3 linked regions of the Daphnia pulex genome follow. The protein of the gene in region 1 binds, or shares a complex with, the protein of each later gene. Links are inferred from orthologs where the notes say so. Each region holds a gene or a part of one and is shown on either strand. Other genes may lie near its edges.

Region 1 (6,109 bases):
CCGGACTCCGGAGTGCAATAGCCACTTTTGACACTAGAGCGCTCCGGACTCCGGAGTGCAATAGATTTTACCATTACCATGTCTGACAAAACTGATCGAAATGAAAACTTCGCCTTCTTCTTCACACCACTTCACACCCAACTTCGTGTCATAATGTGAGACAACGTTGCCGCACGCACCAGAAAAAAATGTAGTAGTAAAAATAATATTTTTGTTTTTCCAATTTTCCAATCCATTCCAGTTTCCAACATTCTATAAATCCGTCATTTCCTTCAGACTTCAATTCCATTTCCCACTATAACCCATAAATTCCGAAATGCTAACTAATTCAAGCCATGGAAAATTTAAGTACTTCCAGTCTTTCATTACTCTGCTGTCAAAATGATCGAACTCCATGTTTCGATTACAGTACCCTCGGGCACTATAAGAAAGAGTATATCTCTGTTAAGAGTTTAAGACTAACATTATAGAAAAATTTGCAGACTTATTGATCAACGAATGTTAACGGTAAATTTTTCCCAAACAGAAACATGTACAATATATTCCTTTTTACTTCTCGTTCAACTTCAGTTGCGACGAGGCAATCAAAATGTATTTTTGATAATCTAAAGGGTACATGATAGTTGAAACCAAAGAGAGACGCAAACAGCCATAACCAATCGATGAGACACACAATTATATTTGTCTTCATTTTCTGATGTTGGATTTGTCGGATATTAATATCTGACAAAAACCTCGAGATGTGCTGCCTTTCACTGAATAAGCAGCACGCCTCAAGATGTGGTGATTGTTTACAGTCTTGGCAATTACTCGTCGATGAATGTCGTCTCCTCTTTAATGAAAAACTCGACTGTCTCCTCTTCTAATTCCCCTCCACGGCCTTCAGTTTCATCCGTATCCACGTCTGTGAATTCATTTGTGAGTTAAATCCTGATAAGCTTACTTATTAACTAGGTTTAAGAACTTACTGTTGCGCAATTCGATACGACGGCGACGTTGAGCGTCATAGTCCTCTTGCTTCTGCTTACGCAAGTCTTCATATTCTTGCATCAGTTTGCGGCGTTTTTCTACCAATTCCTGGGTGAAGTTTGAAAATGTCAGATTTTTAGAAAATACTTTCGCCAAAAATTACACATTCAAAAAATATTTACTTTGGAAGCTTTAGTCATTTTCAATCGATCCTTCACTTCGAATTGGGCACTAAATTTCTTCAAAGACTTCTTAATGTCCTTTATTTGTTGGGCTGGAAGTAATGAAGGTGGTCGAGGTCTCCATTGCAGCTGACAGAATTTGTCTAGTGCTACGCGTTTGAGAATGCGTCCTTGGAAGGACCACAACCAGTAGGCATTATCGACCTGTCAAAGTACAAGAGATCAAACATTGTCAAAAATGAATACATTGCTTGATTTTTGTTACCTTGTGACCCCACCAGGAAACAGCAGTTGCGACATACCGACCGGTTGGATCCCACTCCACATCAGTAGCCATGAAGTGTTCGCCCGTATTCATGACGGTAAAATCATGGGTGTCGACAAATTCCAATGTGCCAGACATGGCACGTAGGCCGGCTAACACAATGAACTGGCCTGTTCGATAAAGTATAGTAAGGATTTTAGAATTTTAACATTAAATTTAATGTTTTCTTACCAGAAGGGGCCCAGTACAACTGGTTGCAAGGTTTACGTTCGTATTTTTTAACCATCGTAGGCGTTTGTCCAGTTTTAACTTCGAAGAAAGAAACAGAAGTACTCGGTGGCTCACCGTGGATGACGGCAAACTTAGTACCAACTGGCTCCCACGCAAAAGCTTGAATGGTTTCCTTGATTTCTACCGAGTCGACTGGAATTTGTTTTTCTCGCATGTGGAAAACTTCCAAATTGTAGTAGATACCGCTATCAAAGGGGGGAAAATTAGCTTTTATATCTATTAATTGAAGGAGTGGCATCTCATTACCTGTATTTGATATCGGACTTATCTTTCCTTAATTTGGCATAGCGGTCGACTTTCACACACAAATAGTCACCTGATTTTTGCCAATACATTTTACAGTCGGCAACGCTAAACAAATTTTTGACTCGCACTTCATTGCGACTTGGCAACTCAAGAAGTGTGACGCGAGCAGGAGTATCTTTCTCCTCTCCGACCCAATAAGCAATCGTATTGTCTGTTGGGCTCCAGGCAAAATCTCGAATTCCTTGAACCTATCAAAATGTAAGAGTGCATGTTAGGAAATGGTTATTAGAAGATTTTGTAAATCGTGTACGTTACTTTGATCGACTTCTTGTCTAAAAGGCCAAATGATGGGGTTTCATAAACAGAAAGCATGTCGATTCCCATCCTAGCGAAATACTTGTCATCATGCGACCACTTAAAAATGGGCAGGGCTTGAGATTTATCGGCATTAAAAGCTCGTCGCTTAAGACCGCTCAACACGTCCCAAATGATGATGGCTTGTGGTTCATCAGTTGCTCTTGAATCAGCCAGTGGACTAAAAGATACTAAATACTTCTCACATGGTGAGAAGTCAATGAATTGCACTCCTGGATGACTGAAGCGCACAATTTGTTGAAACTTTTCACCACCCCAAAGAGCTATACCCTTTGCATGGAAAGTGGCTAGATAGGTGCCAAGAGGTGACCACCGCACTAGAGTCTCAGTCCATCTCTGTGAAGATAATTATTGGTCAGATAAAATTTTAATATGAAAAAAAAAAATAATAATAATAATAAAGGTGAAGTGACTCACAGGTCTTTCTTCCAGCAGAGAGGGTTCAGGTTGAGTGTTCAAATAAACAGCAACTTTGTCTCCCTGCTCATACACAACTGAGAATTGGTCACAAGCGTCTTGATCAAGAAGATAGTATTGAAGGCATCCTTGCTCCTTAAACGGCTGAGGAATTGGATTTTCCCACTTATCAAGAATGTCATTATATTTTTCGAAGTCAGTAAGTAAGTTCACAGTGAAGGTGTGATTTTTGTCGAACTTGTAACCATTAGTTCCTTTAAGAACTTCCAATGCTTCATTGGCATTTGAGTACTCTATGAAAACATGGCTTCAAAAGTATATTATGTTAAAATTGGGCTGACACAAAAGTTAAAAAAAAAACTAATAAATTACCCTTTAGTTGATCCATCAGCATTAAGAGGATAATATTCATTAGTTATTTTTCCAAACTTTTGGAATAGTTTTCTCAGGACATTTTGAAGTTTTTCTATCCTCTCAGTACCAACCTGAGGAACACCGTCAATAACAACAATTGATTCGACTCCGTCGGTTTCTTTCGGACGCTGCCTGATGAGGTCACCTATAAGATCTACATTGACAGTTAGCAAGATTCAATGCCGGCATGCTCAGGAAAGCCATATGGCAAAAGGTAAGTTACAAACGGTACCTTCTTCAGAAATATCGTCCTCATAACCTTCCGGATCATCGAAGTTGGGCTCGTCTTCTAATTCATCGTTTGGGTTAGAATCCGAGTCATCGTTATTTTGCTGAGCTCGATCATTTTCTTTTCGTCGAGCCATGATGAAAAACAAGCACTGCACACCGGACACGAGTCTTTAATGGCGGAAGCCTGTGCCAGATTTCAACAAATAATACTACCATCGAGAAGGCCAAGGCAACCACCATCCACCAATCAGGCAATCACCATTCACCAAACACCATAGGTAACTTGGTGACTAGCCTAGCCTGTCAGCTAGAACGGGATCTTCTGAAGGGAAAATAATTTAGATTTTTTATTATTATTATTTTTTCTTGATTTTTATTCGCATTATAATCATACATTGGATTTTTTTTTGTTTTCAGAAAATAGCCTACATTTATTCATTTCCAAAAAAGTTGAATCCTTATACCCATTTGAGGAATGAGTTGGTAATAATTTTTTTAAATATTTTTAAAGTAACGTAATGATATTTTAAAACCATGATAGCGAATATTTTACAAATATGTATTACGCCTAACTATCAGTCATGGCAAATATGCCTACGCAAAAGCACAATTCTAGCAGCCGAATCATCATAACCCGGGAGGGATGAAAACATCACTTAGGCCTATAACCTACGTGAGTTAACGTTGATCGCAAAATTTTGAAGAACCACTACAATTGAAAACTTGTCTTAACATTTAAATATGTATGATTAAAGTTTTAAAGTCGTAAAAATTGCGAATAATCGAGAAGAAGTTGGCCTTTTAAAAGTGTCCGGTTGTCGGTAACATCGAGGAATATAAAATGGACAGCGTATTGGAAGGTTATCTATTTCAGATGCATTCTGGAACGTGCAGCGATATGCTGGAGCAAATCAAGGATATTAAAGATGTTGTATCCAAAACCAAAGACAGTAGGTTTCAAATATTGGTCCCATCAAAAACATGTTAATCAATTCATTTACATTGTATTTTTTCTAAAGATTCTGTTGTCTCGGCTTTACTAAACAAAGAAATTGGATTAATTTCCTTGTTGTCCAAGTTCAGAGATTCTCAAAAGGATGACAACTTTGCAGAAATAATAAATTGTGCCCTGTCAATTTTGGGTGATTTACTGGAAAAATTTGGAGAATCCATGAGCAACCATTTAGTGGTTATTAAAGTATGGAAAATAATTAATATTACCTAGCTATGTGTAAAAACCTAATAGTATAACTTTCATTTACCTTAAGAATTTAGCATTGATGTACATGAACTCCAAAAATTCTAAGATACGAGGAGCTTGTTATTTTGTTCTTTGCCAAGTTGTTATTACTGCTCAAACTTCACCAACAGAAATATTAGAAGAACTGAATTTGCCAGCCCTTTCTAATATGCTTTTTGAAAAAATGGCTACATCTTCTGATGATAGTTCAAGCAAAGGTGATTAATTAAAAAGACTATTGTATAATTACCCTGTTTGTTATGCAGATTGTATTATTACTGTGTATGCATAGATATGTATTTCTATGGTTATTTATAATATTTATGTTTTACTTTAGCGAAAATGAATTTCCTAGTACTCCTAGGCAGACTGGCCCAGTACTTTCCTAGTACACTGAAGGAAAAGGCCAGTCGCATCATTAACCAACTCCTTTATGAACTTGAAAAGGAGGTAACTAAACATTAACGTAAATAATTACGTTCTGTAAAATCAAATAATTTTTCTTTTTCTTTCTTTAAAGGTGAAAAGGCAGCATGATTTCAAAGATAAACGTGTAGCAGGCTGTATTGAAGCTCTTACAGGATTTCTCCATTCATTTAATTCAATCGTTGACCAAAAATGTAGGGAAAAAATTCATAGTTACTTATTGATGCTTCTCACGAAATTTTTACTGGTCGATAAGAGAGTTCATACCAAAAAAGGTGGTTATATTAACATTTGGTTTTTCATTATTTTGCCTGAACTATTTATTTTTTGTTTTTGTTTTTTATGCACAGCCGCATTGAACATGCTGGAAGAACACGCATCTCTCTTCAATAACTTGCTGCTAAAGCAATACAAATCCTGGTTCGATAACTTGAAATCTTATGCTTTGCGCGAAAAAACAGATATTCTTGAAAGTGGTCTGAAAGCACTTGGGAAGTTTATTGACGAAAGCGTAAAAATTTTGAAGATTGAATCAGATGCTACACACAAATCATCAATACTCGAGGTTTTCATTTTCATGTGTATTAATGTATATTTTCTTCTGTTTAAAATTTATCTTCTTAGTTTTTCATGAAGAATGTGATAGAGATTTTGGAATCTGATCAGGCTTCCCTCCAGCTCAAATGTGTTGGCCTTAAAGCCTTGGGCGAGTGTAGCTTCTTGGTTTCTGGAAAGAATGTATCACACATTTTTGAGTATCTACTCAATAAGACATCGTTTATTTGTATCCAGTATGCAGGCCTTTTGATCAATTAAAATTCCATCTTAAAACTAACAATTTAATAAATTCTGCAGGGAGGATACTTCAAAGAGCTTGGATCTTTTTCCTATTTGCCTTGAATCCCTTGGACTTGTTCTCATGCGCTATGCTACCCCCGTAGGAATTGAAAGAACACAGCAGCTACAGAAAATGTTTGTCCATCTTTTCTCGCGCTATTTGGATATAGGTACTAAATTGAAATATTCCTTTTTTCTAACATATTTAATCAACAC
Region 2 (5,379 bases), on another chromosome or scaffold:
CCAAGATGCCCTACTAAAATACGGTATGATAAACAGTGTTTCTTTCACGTAATCAACCTGACTGAGAAAAGACGAACAAGAAGAAAAAGAAAAGACAACAAACGTTACAAAGATTAAAAAATAAAAAACAGCAAAGGGTTTGCATCGCAAATGATTGATATAGATGTATAAATCAAGAGAACGATTAGCTTTGAATAACGAGATTCACACGTTGTGTTCTGAAGATTCTTTTCCCCCCTCGTAATACATGTAAATGTTTAAACTAGAAGATGATTTGAGAAAAGCCCGATGATTAAAGGGTGGAATTATCGTTCGAAAAAAAAAGTGATAGAAATCGCTTAGAAGCGAGGTCCTGTACCACCAGATGGGTTACTCATTTGAGCTCGAACAGCTGAGCCGACAACGTCAGCAGCGGCTCCACGGACGTGCTCATTACGCATTACTCCAGAAGTGAACTCCGCCTGGGCTTTAGAGAAAGAAGCTCCCGTGCTGCGGTACAAACGGCTGACCTTTAAGGGATACGCAAATATTTTATGATGAACTGCGCAAACAATTCTGGGATTTTAAAGAAAAAACTTCTTACTCTGACGAGGAGAAGAAAATCTCCCAAAGCGACAACTCCAAATCCCAACCCGATAAGCAAGACTAAAATTCCAACAGCAAGATCTCCTGAAATGGTGATAAATCCAAACAAAACAAAATATTAGAATATCATAACCTTCAGCAGTACTTGGTACCAGGAACTCACCCCCACTAGTCCGCCCGCCAATTGTAGATAATCCAGTGATGAATCCGCTGTTGAAAGATTGGATAAATAAGGATAAATAAACATTCACAACATTCGCATGACTCATAGTTACCATGTTCCCAAATTAGGTATGCCAATAGCTTGGATGACGGTTGCTATTAGTTGGCCAAAGTAGATGACGAAAAAAACCATGAAATTGAATGAGCTGTCCGATCTAAAACACGACAAAAAACACACGTTTACAAAACAAAACGAATTCCTTCTAAAAAGTGAAGTTAAGCCATAATTTTAGAAATATGAGGGCGGACCTGAATGCCTTGTAGACAGGTCGAAACCAGCAAAGATAAGAAGCTGGTGTGAAAAGGATGCAGTATAGGATTGACAAGCCAAACATGGCACCACTTCCCACTTGAATGAATAAGGCTAAGCAGCCCAAAACATTTAGAAGATACATGAGGGTGTGCACTGAAAATAAAGAAACAAAACAAAATCAATAAAAGTTTCTGATAACAAAAATAAACTTAAACAAGAAATCTATGATATGTTTAACTTACGCATCCAAATATAGTATAACATGCGGACAATTTTTTGAAATTCAAGTGGGATTTCCACATTGATGTCTTGATAGAAGCATGGTTGGACACAAAACTTGTCAGGCAGTGGTGGCCAATTATTGCGCTGAGCTGTAATGAAGAAGTAAATAACAGAAATTAAAAAGTAAAGTTTCATTTAAATTTGTTCTCTCCTACAGTTGAATGGTACATTATTCTTTAATTCTTCTTCTCGCCTCTGCAATTCTTGAGCTTTCTTCTCTAGTTCTTCTTGACGTCTCTATAAAACCATGCAATATAATGAATAAAGATTTCCTTCTTTCTTTTTAAGTTTTAATACTTGAAAATCCGCATTTGACATAGCTGCTTGTTGTTGTGGTCCTGGAGATATCACTGGGGCAGCTTGAATTGTTGGGGGTGGATTGGCTCCACCAACACGGTCCTTAAATTTTGTAACAAATCAAACACACTTCCCACTTTCATGATAAAATTATGTTTTACCATTGAAACTCTGGTAGTTTGATTACTACCATCAAAAGGGTTGTATTCTTCAAGACCTTGCTGAGCTCTCGCAGCATTGTTTCCTGCAGCTTGCTGGACAGATGGATCCTATTGTGAAAGTAAACAACCACTTTACCACTAAACTAATAAACAAGGTGATTTTTCAAAAGGTTTTCTTTCATATTGTATGCGGCGAGTACTCCATGAATCACCAGTTTTCAACCAAGGTATTAGTATGGTAATAGTAAGTATAATATACATATTATAAATAATCTACCGCAAACGGGTTGAAAACAGCCGGTTCTGCAAAAGGATTCTGATCAAATCCAGACATTATCAAATATTTCTTTTTTTAACTTCGGTCACTTTGTTACTCCAATTTGCGGTAACTTTTGTTTCGACGGTCACCGTGAAACGTCAACTCAACTAATACAGACAGAAACTCCTATCAATTGCTAAATAACAGGTAATGTCAGAGAAAAGCAGTTCGGAAACAGGCAAACACTAGCGCCTCTGGAAGACAGAAACACTAGACTAAGCAACGCTGGGATTAACGAGATATCTCAGGTAAAAAAAATTAAATAATTCATAATAAAAGGTTTGCAATAAAGTTTCAAAATTTAATTATTGTTAGGTTTCTATATTTAATATTTTGTAATGCACATATTAACATTATTAGAAAAGTGAAAGCATTTGGCAACTGCCATGGACACTAGTGTGTTCACGATTTTTCGTTGAAGATGGAGGCCGAGGCGGATTGGGGTGATTTTATTTAATTATTTCTATATTAAGTTATTCAATTCCACCTGTTTTTTGTATGAAATTCTCAATAGTGCATATCAAAGTTCCATTTAATCGTATACTCTAATCAAATACGATTTTGTGGTGATTATAGATGCCGAAGATTTTGAACCCTCTGTCCCTGTTCCAGTTACGACTGCCATAATTTCAGATAAATGGGAAGGTGAGGATGAAGATGAACCTGTCAAGGTGAGTTGTAATTCAATTGTGATGATATTAGTAGTAAGTATATCTACAAATTTGGTAGAACCTTGTAGCGCTTGTAGTGAAAAAAAGTTCTCTCAGTACCTTTCTATTTCTGCTCCAATTCTTACAACTTTCACTTGACTACCATGTGTCTTCTTTTGCCAAAAAATTCTTATTGCTCAATGAGTTTTACATAAAGTTGTGATTGATTTCAAAATTATCATTTTTTCTTGTTTATAAATGATAGGATAGCTGGGAAGATGAAGAAACAGAAAATAAGCCTGCTGAAGTCAAAGCAGCAGCCACAGTAAGTACATGTGATCTCTCGTAAAAGTATCCAAAAAATTTAAAATGTGTTTGTTACTTTCAGGCTACCAAAAAAAAGTCAAGTAAAAGATTAGAAGAAAAAATAGCCGAAAAAGAAAAGAAAAGCAGAGAAGAAGCTGAAGCCAGAAAAATATTGCAGGAAGCAAACATGACACCTGAAGAGAGAATAGCAGAAAAGCTTCGGAGACAAAAACTAGTTGAAGAATCAGATTTTGAAATGGCCAAGGAAACCTTTGGTAAGTTGTCTTAGGAAACTGTATTGCTGACCTGCACTAAGCATGATTTGTTTTATATTTTGTTCTCAATGTTATTTTTATTTTCCAGGAATTACTGGTAGTTTGCCTACAGAGGGAAGCATAGATGAAGCAAACCCTTCATCTAAAGAGGAATTCTCAGAATTCAAGAACAACTTGGTGAAAAAACTTCAGTCATTGTCAACTAAAGCGTGCTATAATGATTTTATAGAGGACTTCATTAAAGATGTTTGCATTGGATGTAAGTCACATTTTCTAATGTTGGTTGCTAAAAACTTTTCTACATCCCAGTTTTTCAACATAGTGGAAGTCGAAGTCCTTAGAAAAGTTAGTCTAACTACCAAATCCTTGCACGAAGAAAAACTCAAGATGGTGAAGGCGGCGACAAAAGGTGGAAAGAAAGGAAAAACAAAAGTTGCTTTAAAAATGGACAAAGGAATGGTCGACAACTTCGGTGATGATTTCGGAGGAGGAGACTATGACGACTTCATGTAGGGTCCAATTGTTTTTCTTTTGTTTTTGGCGGGAAAAGGTTTATTGGTAAAATAAATGTATGATTTTGCCATTTTGCTCTTGTCAGTTTTTTCAGTGTTTTAAGATATATTGAGATTGAATTTCTGTTAAAAGTTAAAACCTCCCTCTTAATTATTCTAATTCAATATATAGAGTTAAGTTGCATATTTTCTTAGACGTTCCAGTTTTCTACTTTTAGCGTCAAAAAAGGAGATGGTGACAGTTGTAAAGTTAGATGTAGTTAGATGTATTTGTCCCATTGAATGCTACACACTGTCAAAAGTAAGCAAATAACTTTCAATATTTATTTTTTTAAATTTGAGTTTTGAGTACCCCGCAAATTTGTATACTGGTGAATCCTTATTTGATACCCAGTGGGCGTAAGAGAGGGGATTAGGGGGGTTTTGTTTTTAAAATGTAATGGAAATCGTTGCCGTGGCAGCCGGCTGCATGCCTAATCAATAAATGAAGCACGTGCGTTTCCTGCTGAGTAGCAGACTAGTAGTGGCATAAAAGTGGTTGTTTGGTCGATACTTCTAACTCGTTATATGGCGTTTCACTGTGAGAAAGTTCGTTAATGAATTTCTGGAGTGATAGAGCACAAGTTGAGCAAGAAAATGGAACTAAAAGAAGTTAACGGAGCAGAGTTTTTGCCTTTAGCAAACGCAAGAAACCGACTGCTTCAACAAAATGTAAGCAACAAGTTTTCCCGTATTTTAAATCCAGAATTGATTTCAATTAAATCGTATATCAATGTACACAGGTCCGAGACAAGCGAAATAAACTCGCTCAGCTACTAATGGAACTCGATCAAAATGAAAATGTTGTTAAAACTGCCGAACAAGATCTCACGACGCTTGAACAAAGCACACAACAAACACATGTAAGTAGAGATCTGCTCATGATGGCCATGGTTCACGGTCCAACAACTTTCATATTGCTAAACAGATTTTTCCTGCTTGTTTTGTGTTCAAAGTTTGTATCATTAAATGTTGTTCTGTTGTCTGAAAATGCGTCAGAAGATGACATGACGTAAAAGCAATTTCTGCATAGACAAGTCTCACTTAATCACCTCGTTATTAACGAGGCAATTAACCATGGATATCATATTTATACTTCATGCAGGGCTGATTGATTTGATGAAGAAAGCATGGATTTTAACTTTTAATTAATAAATTAAATTTTTAAATCAAAGGTTCTGGCAAAAAATATTCGCAATCAAGTACGCCAGGAACGGGAAGCGCTAAATTTGGCGAGCACCGAAACCGGAACCATAGAGCAAGAAACTAAACGGATCAACCAAAAATTGCAACAAATGACAAAAAATGTTGATTTTCACAAGGTTCCATCATAACAATTTAATTTTATATCTTTGGCAAGTCTTTCTAAAATAAATAATTTTCTAGAAAAAATTAGCGGAACAAAACCTCGACTTGGAGAGACTAAATCAGTTGTATGAGGAGGAAGAAAAATTTGTGGTTGTCATGGAGAAAATGGT
Region 3 (6,210 bases), on another chromosome or scaffold:
GTGTGTCAGCTGGAAACCCTGTTTTCACATGACAGCAAAACTTTTATTATAAAAAATCATCTCATTCCAAATTAAAAAGAGTTATTTACCTGAAGGCAATCGCAGCTCTCGGCTTCTTTGCGGACAACGTCAAGAACAGAGTCGACCAATTCAGCTCCTTCAGTGTAGTGACCTTTGGCCCAGTTGTTACCGGCTCCACTTTGGCCAAAGACGAAATTGTCAGGGCGGAAGAGCTGGCCAAACGGTCCCGAACGAACGGAATCCATGGTGCCAGGCTCCAAATCCACAAGAACAGCACGGGGAACGTATTTGCCTCCGCTTGCTTCATTATAGTAGACATTGATGCGTTCCAGTTGCAGTTCAGACTCGCCGTGGTAGGTGCCATTAGGTTGGATTCCATGCTCGTCAGAAATGATTTCCCAAAACTGCAGGAAAAGGTAAACAAAAAAAGAGGGAGAGTTAGAAAAACCTGCCCAATTTCAATGAGTTTTTAAGTGCTATACACACAGTATAAAATCTAACTACACCTAGGGAGGAACTGCTAGATAACCCATCAGTAAGGGCGCTGTCACAATGAGGGGTTGGAAAATGTCGGGGGAGGGGATGTTGTTTCACATACAATTGCCCAATCGAATTCGGTTCACATCTGCCACATGGATGCGCGATATAACATTTGAAGGTTAGAGGGGAGGCTCACATTTACTTTTTAAGTTTATGGTCGTTAGCCTCAATTTTTTTTTTACCCCACCACTTGGCACGACTACACTATCCGGTTTTTTAAAAAACAAAGTGCATCGAAACAAAACTAATTAGAACTCGCCTTTTTGTGATCTTGCCGGGTACCGGTTCACCATTCAAGCCTGGAAGCTTTAGATTGATGGCATGAACAATCGAGAAGATTGCATGAGAAAGGAGTATGCAATCAAATCAACAACATTACATTTACTCTTTTTTTTTTTGCAACATCTTGAGATGAAAGGGGCCGGACAACAAAGAAAAATGGCGGACTAGCGCCAAATGGGCATAAAAAAGGTGTCTTGCACACCGGTCTTTCACTGCAGCAAACCATGTCAAATATCTTATCATTCTAAAATAATGAAAATATAATATTTACCTTGGCTCCAATCTGGTTACCACACTGTCCAGCTTGAATATGAACGATTTCACGCATTTTCTAATATTTTTCGAAATGAAATTGAAAGAGAAAAACTCTCAAGTTTAACGGTCAACGTGCCTCGCGCTGGAATCCTCTGGATATGAATTTCCGTTTGCAATGGGACTGGCATTTATAACCTCATGAACAGCCTTGGGTGCAAGAGGGCGGAGCTTGATTGTGTTGCGCATTGCCATTGGTCCACGAAATCAAACATGAAAGCCAAATCCTTATTGGGAGATTCGAAATTTGCGTCCGCGCGTTTCGGTTATTTTTTGCTCCTAGAGATGCAGAGTTTATATGTTTCTGTATATAGTTGGCTGAATATTAAAAAACGGAGATATGACCCAATCAAAATTCTAAATAAGTAGAGAAATATTTGCAGGGCAACGTTTTTGGTTTGTCTCTAGTTCCTTTTATTGAACGTTATAATCTTAAACTTCAAAAAATGCCTGCTTCCATTTAAGTTCAGTAAAATATTAGAATTAAATATAAAGTTTCGATTAAAGATAAGATAACCCACTTATTGTCATCGGTGTGGCGAATATGGTAAGAAATAACACGCTTTGAAAATTCATTCCTTTTCCGTGGTTGGTATGTGATTGAAATATTGCCAATTACGTCTCTAAAAGGAAAGAAAACCGGGAACCGTATAAATTCAAAAACCAGTTTGTACGGCATCATGGTTTGCGATTTTCGAGTTGATTTCAAAGTAATAAAACCTGTTCGGCACTATTAACCATTGACTCCAGCATAGTTTTATGTAATCCTGCTTAAATGCATTAGGCATAATGGTCACATGAAACCACAAAACACTTATTCCAAACATGGCAAATAATCACCATGACAGCAGTACACACATGTATGCCGGTGAATCACGCGACAGGGGACGAGCCGGAGCCGGCGAGAAACGTAAAAACTCGGTCCCAGTTGTAGCAGACCTCTGCCAGACACGATCAATACTTATGTGTCTAGACAACCCATCCTGCAACTGCAACAAATCCACCTCAGCAGTGTTTTTATGGTTCCTGGGAAACACAGCCTGAATGCAGCTATTGGAGTGCTTGATGTCTTCATCCGTAAATTTGAAACAATTTTGGTAACCATTTTCTTTGAATATTTACTTCCTGATCAACTTTTGATCATGATTTGATATACTTGCTATAAAACAGAAAAACAGAATTGTAATGGCAGTCCCGTTTAGCATTGAAATCTGTTAAGTTTAAGGTAAATTAATCTCAACCGGAGTAAATAAGTTTGACGATCGATTTTTACATTCGAATTTTTGACAGATGATCTTTTGGAAAATTGTTGAGTACATGCGGCAACGCTGTGCAGCTACTATTATTTGACACTAGAGCCACTAGTAATCGAAATAGTAATCTTACTCGTGGACTTTTCTCAATTTTCCGCAATTTTCAATTGAAATTTAATAACTATCGGTATTGAAAAACCTAAAAGATGTATGCCGAAGAATTTGAGGATGTAAGTGTACAATAATTACAACATGTTCTGTACCTATCATCAAAAACTTTTTCATTTGTAGTACGAGTATGAAGCCGATGCCTATGAGCCAACCGGGGATCCACGGCTTGATGCTGAAAATGAACGATACACTAGCTATGGAAGTGCTCCCCAATATGCTCAATATAGCATGCCGGATGTGATCAAGAAATTCATTATTTATTTTCGAGAGATGGTAAACTCTGGAAAGTTGTATGAAATTCAGAATGTCTACGAGAACACGTAAGCCCACCACAGTGCCTGTCAGACAAAGTTGAATTGTTGATCCATTGTTTTTTACTCCATTTAGATTTCCAAAATTAACTGAAGAGCACTTCAAATCATCCCCTTGGCCTGATGCAGATGAAGTTTCCCCATTAGTGGATGATGATCAACCGTTTCTGATTCTCTACAAGGAACTTTACTATCGCCACATTTATGCACGAATCCAAGGAGGACCAACAATTGAACAACGTTTTGAGTCTTACTACAACTACTGTCAACTTTTCAACCATATTTTGAGTACTAACTTCACTAATTTTTAGATGTTTGCCCAAAGCCTTCATAAACCATTTTACTACAGGTGCTAAAAGTCCAGTTGTTTTGGAGCTTCCTCATCAATGGCTGTGGGAAATAATTGATGAATTTGTCTACCAGTTCCAGTCTTTTGCTCTTTTTCGTTGTTCTCTTCATAAGAAATCAGGTACACCCATCATCTTATGCTCCATCTTTTCTTTTCTCACCATTTTTTTTTTTTTTTTACAGCTGAAGAACTTGAATTCATCAGAATCAACCCAACTTTGTGGAACATTCATTCTGTATTGAATGTGTTGTATTCTTTGGTTGACAAATCCAATATCAACCAACAATTGGAAGTAAGAAGGAGAGAATCATTATTGGTTGTAATTTAAAATTAATACAATCGATATGTAGGTATACGCCAAAGGTGATGATCCCGATACCGTAGCAGGAGAATTTGGCCGCCGACCTCTTTATAAAATGTTGGGTTACTTCAGTCTTGTTGGATTACTGAGACTCCACTCATTATTAGGAGATTTCTATCAAGCTGTTAAGGTTCTTGAAAATATGGAACTCAATAAAAAGGTAAGCGCAAAATTAAAAATGATTTGCATTGCTTGTAAACGTAATCCATCAATCTCATTTTAGACTCTGTACTCCAGAGTACCTGCCTGCCAAATCTCAACTTACTATTATGTTGGTTTTGCTTATTTGATGATGAGGCGGTATGCTGATGCTATTCGGACGTTTTCCCATATTCTACTCTACGTCCAGCGCACTAAGCCATTATACCAGGCTAAAACATACCAAAATGACCAGGTCAATTAGATTTAAGTGAAATGAAATACTGAAATCTTAATCTCCTTTTTTGTGTTTATAGATCAACAAACAAACCGAAAAAATGTACGTTCTACTGTCGGTGTGCCTCGTTCTTCATCCTCAGCGCATCGACGAATCTCTACAGGCGATCCTGCGAGAGAAACCTCATGCCGAACGCATCGTGCGGATGCAAAAGGGAGAACTTCAAGTGAGTTTCTGTTGATATTTTTTAAAGTTAAAGCAACAATTTAAATTTGTTCAATTATGTTAGGAATTCGAAAATGCATTCGCTTTCGCTTCTCCGAAATTTTTGTCTCCTGTTCCACCTCCTGTCGAAGCACCACCTGCCGATCATCGCCGTGAACCATTTCAACAGTTGGCAAAAGTTTTCATGGATGAAGTACAACAGCAACTTACTTTGCCAACGATTCGCAGGTATTTGTTCAACATTAGATTTGAATGTCCGAGTATTATTAACATAAATTTTCTGTTTAGTTATCTACGTTTGTACACTACTATGCCTGTCGCCAAAATGGCTGCGTTTTTGGAAATGCCCGATACTGATTTCCGCACCCATCTGCTATGCTTCAAACATAAGATGAAGAACGTCGTTTGGACTAAAGGCACCTCTGGATTGGACGGTGAACTCCAATCAGGCTCTGAGGTGAAATATCTTAGAATTGTAGTTCTAGTGGAATGTATCTTATTTACGCTTTTGCTCGCATTAGGTGGACTTCTATATCGATGGCGGAATGATCCATATTGCTGACACGAAAGTAGCTCGGCGCTATGGTGATTACTTCATTAGACAAATCCATAAATTCGAGGAAATTAACCGCGTATTGAAGACACAAAAAGTTTAAAAATCCGATGCTTTACCTCCTTTAAATATGTTTTACATCTTATTGGTTTTTCAAAGGCAAAATACATAACATGGAGGAAGTTAGTGATTTTTAACTTTTTTTAAAGAGAATTTTTTTCTTACCTTTAAGTCCGACAAGTTACAAGGAAGTCAAATGAAATGAATGTAAGGCCACCAGTGATGTTATGTACGTTTCTCTTATTTTTGAATGTATTCAAATGATAAGATTATTTTTATTAGAGAACATTTTTTAAATAATTGGACCGAAGATCTTACTAGAAATGTAGACCATTGGCATCCTCATAGGAAATGTAAAAAAAAAAAAATGCTATCTAAAATCAAACAAGGGGAATTCAAACACACAAGGGCAATTTGAAAATTTTCAGTTTCAGTCAAAGCATCAGTAGGGAATATGAGTTTTTTTTTCATGAAAAAAAGCACTAACAAAAAGGATGACACGCATTACCCACGGCAGATGGAACGAGAAGAATCGTATTTGCAGTAACGGGCACATGAAAAGGACCTTATGTCCCCTCTCCAAAACAAAAAGCATTCGATTACTGCTGGTTGAAATTAGAATATCAAACGTCAATGTGAGAGTTTTAAATAAATTTAACATTTCAGGACTGTAACAATTTGAAAATTAAGAAATAACAAGCTTGTCAGTCACCACCACAATTAGTCCATAGAGCTCACGACAAACAATTACGCACCATTTACCAGCCAGATGAAGAAGCACGCTCCGTACCAGAACATTTTATAACAATTGATATGTATGAAGTAGGCTTAGTACGTTTTCTTATCCAGCTGAATACTTTGTTGGGAAGTCGTCTTTTTTTTTAAGCCCAATGTCGCTCACACTATGCACATTCATAACCCATGGTATCACCAACACGCACACTAAAGTCATCAATTTAGATCCATAAATAAATAAGAGCTGTTGATACATGTCGACCACCATACATCGGGAGACTAATAAACTAGCCAAATAATATAAAAATTTTGAGGACCCGAGAATTATGAATCACCCATTCACTCAATCAAAATGATGCAACAAGACATGCGGGACCGGTGAAATCAAATTAAATCCATTTTAAAACTGAATAGATTAAGGTTGCTGTAAGTAGAATGGGAGACGGCAGTAAATTATTTCCTTTACCACACTGTTTGATTTCCTCCTCCTAAGGCGATAAGAAAATGCAGAAACAAGAATATTATGCTGCCAGTCATCTCTGCAATATTCTCACTTACCTCTGGATGATAACTGAGACAGACGGAGGGACGCTGACGGTACAAGCTTTCCTGAGGTCGTTCGCAGCGTAACGACTCGTTCATTTTGACTTCCTCCATTTCA

Evidence for each region.
Region 2: eukaryotic translation initiation factor 3 subunit B-like (region 1) and eukaryotic translation initiation factor 3 subunit J-like share a complex: the UniProt entries of both Drosophila melanogaster proteins name them as parts of the eukaryotic translation initiation factor 3 (eIF-3) complex. The link is inferred for Daphnia pulex from reciprocal best matches to the Drosophila melanogaster genes eIF3b and eIF3j.
Region 3: eukaryotic translation initiation factor 3 subunit B-like (region 1) and eukaryotic translation initiation factor 3 subunit L-like share a complex: the UniProt entries of both Drosophila melanogaster proteins name them as parts of the eukaryotic translation initiation factor 3 (eIF-3) complex. The link is inferred for Daphnia pulex from reciprocal best matches to the Drosophila melanogaster genes eIF3b and eIF3l.

The regions. Positions count from the first base shown.
Region 1 is NC_060026.1:9,962,447-9,968,555, forward strand, and holds eukaryotic translation initiation factor 3 subunit B-like, read right to left. Parts: upstream 3,650-6,109; 5' UTR 3,525-3,649; coding exon 3,392-3,524; intron 3,314-3,391; coding exon 3,118-3,313; intron 3,053-3,117; coding exon 2,746-3,052; intron 2,665-2,745; coding exon 2,269-2,664; intron 2,202-2,268; coding exon 1,954-2,201; intron 1,893-1,953; coding exon 1,648-1,892; intron 1,587-1,647; coding exon 1,417-1,586; intron 1,356-1,416; coding exon 1,152-1,355; intron 1,078-1,151; coding exon 969-1,077; intron 905-968; coding exon 807-904; 3' UTR 543-806; downstream 1-542. Other genes in the region: DNA-dependent protein kinase catalytic subunit-like, read left to right, coding at 4,232-4,340, 4,410-4,588, 4,659-4,848, 4,968-5,080, 5,151-5,331, 5,407-5,621, 5,681-5,847, 5,912-6,063. UniProt on the Drosophila melanogaster protein: RNA-binding component of the eukaryotic translation initiation factor 3 (eIF-3) complex, which is involved in protein synthesis of a specialized repertoire of mRNAs and, together with other initiation factors, stimulates binding of mRNA and methionyl-tRNAi to the 40S ribosome.
Region 2 is NC_060019.1:7,842,449-7,847,827, reverse strand, and holds eukaryotic translation initiation factor 3 subunit J-like, read left to right. Parts: upstream 1-2,475; 5' UTR 2,476-2,540; coding exon 2,541-2,562; intron 2,563-2,695; coding exon 2,696-2,790; intron 2,791-3,034; coding exon 3,035-3,094; intron 3,095-3,157; coding exon 3,158-3,350; intron 3,351-3,438; coding exon 3,439-3,609; intron 3,610-3,672; coding exon 3,673-3,863; 3' UTR 3,864-3,937; downstream 3,938-5,379. Other genes in the region: secretory carrier-associated membrane protein 2-like, read right to left, coding at 339-509, 584-669, 749-795, 861-962, 1,057-1,213, 1,303-1,431, 1,498-1,579, 1,640-1,741 and 2 more; coiled-coil domain-containing protein 39-like, read left to right, coding at 4,499-4,573, 4,645-4,764, 5,077-5,223, 5,288-5,379. UniProt on the Drosophila melanogaster protein: Component of the eukaryotic translation initiation factor 3 (eIF-3) complex, which is involved in protein synthesis of a specialized repertoire of mRNAs and, together with other initiation factors, stimulates binding of mRNA and methionyl-tRNAi to the 40S ribosome.
Region 3 is NC_060018.1:1,451,649-1,457,858, reverse strand, and holds eukaryotic translation initiation factor 3 subunit L-like, read left to right. Parts: upstream 1-2,468; 5' UTR 2,469-2,614; coding exon 2,615-2,638; intron 2,639-2,699; coding exon 2,700-2,899; intron 2,900-2,966; coding exon 2,967-3,178; intron 3,179-3,239; coding exon 3,240-3,359; intron 3,360-3,421; coding exon 3,422-3,531; intron 3,532-3,589; coding exon 3,590-3,760; intron 3,761-3,823; coding exon 3,824-3,994; intron 3,995-4,055; coding exon 4,056-4,202; intron 4,203-4,265; coding exon 4,266-4,429; intron 4,430-4,489; coding exon 4,490-4,658; intron 4,659-4,722; coding exon 4,723-4,857; 3' UTR 4,858-4,940; downstream 4,941-6,210. Other genes in the region: tubulin beta chain, read right to left, coding at 1-18, 90-425, 1,115-1,171; voltage-dependent calcium channel subunit alpha-2/delta-3-like, read right to left, coding at 5,939-6,037, 6,108-6,210. UniProt on the Drosophila melanogaster protein: Component of the eukaryotic translation initiation factor 3 (eIF-3) complex, which is involved in protein synthesis of a specialized repertoire of mRNAs and, together with other initiation factors, stimulates binding of mRNA and methionyl-tRNAi to the 40S ribosome.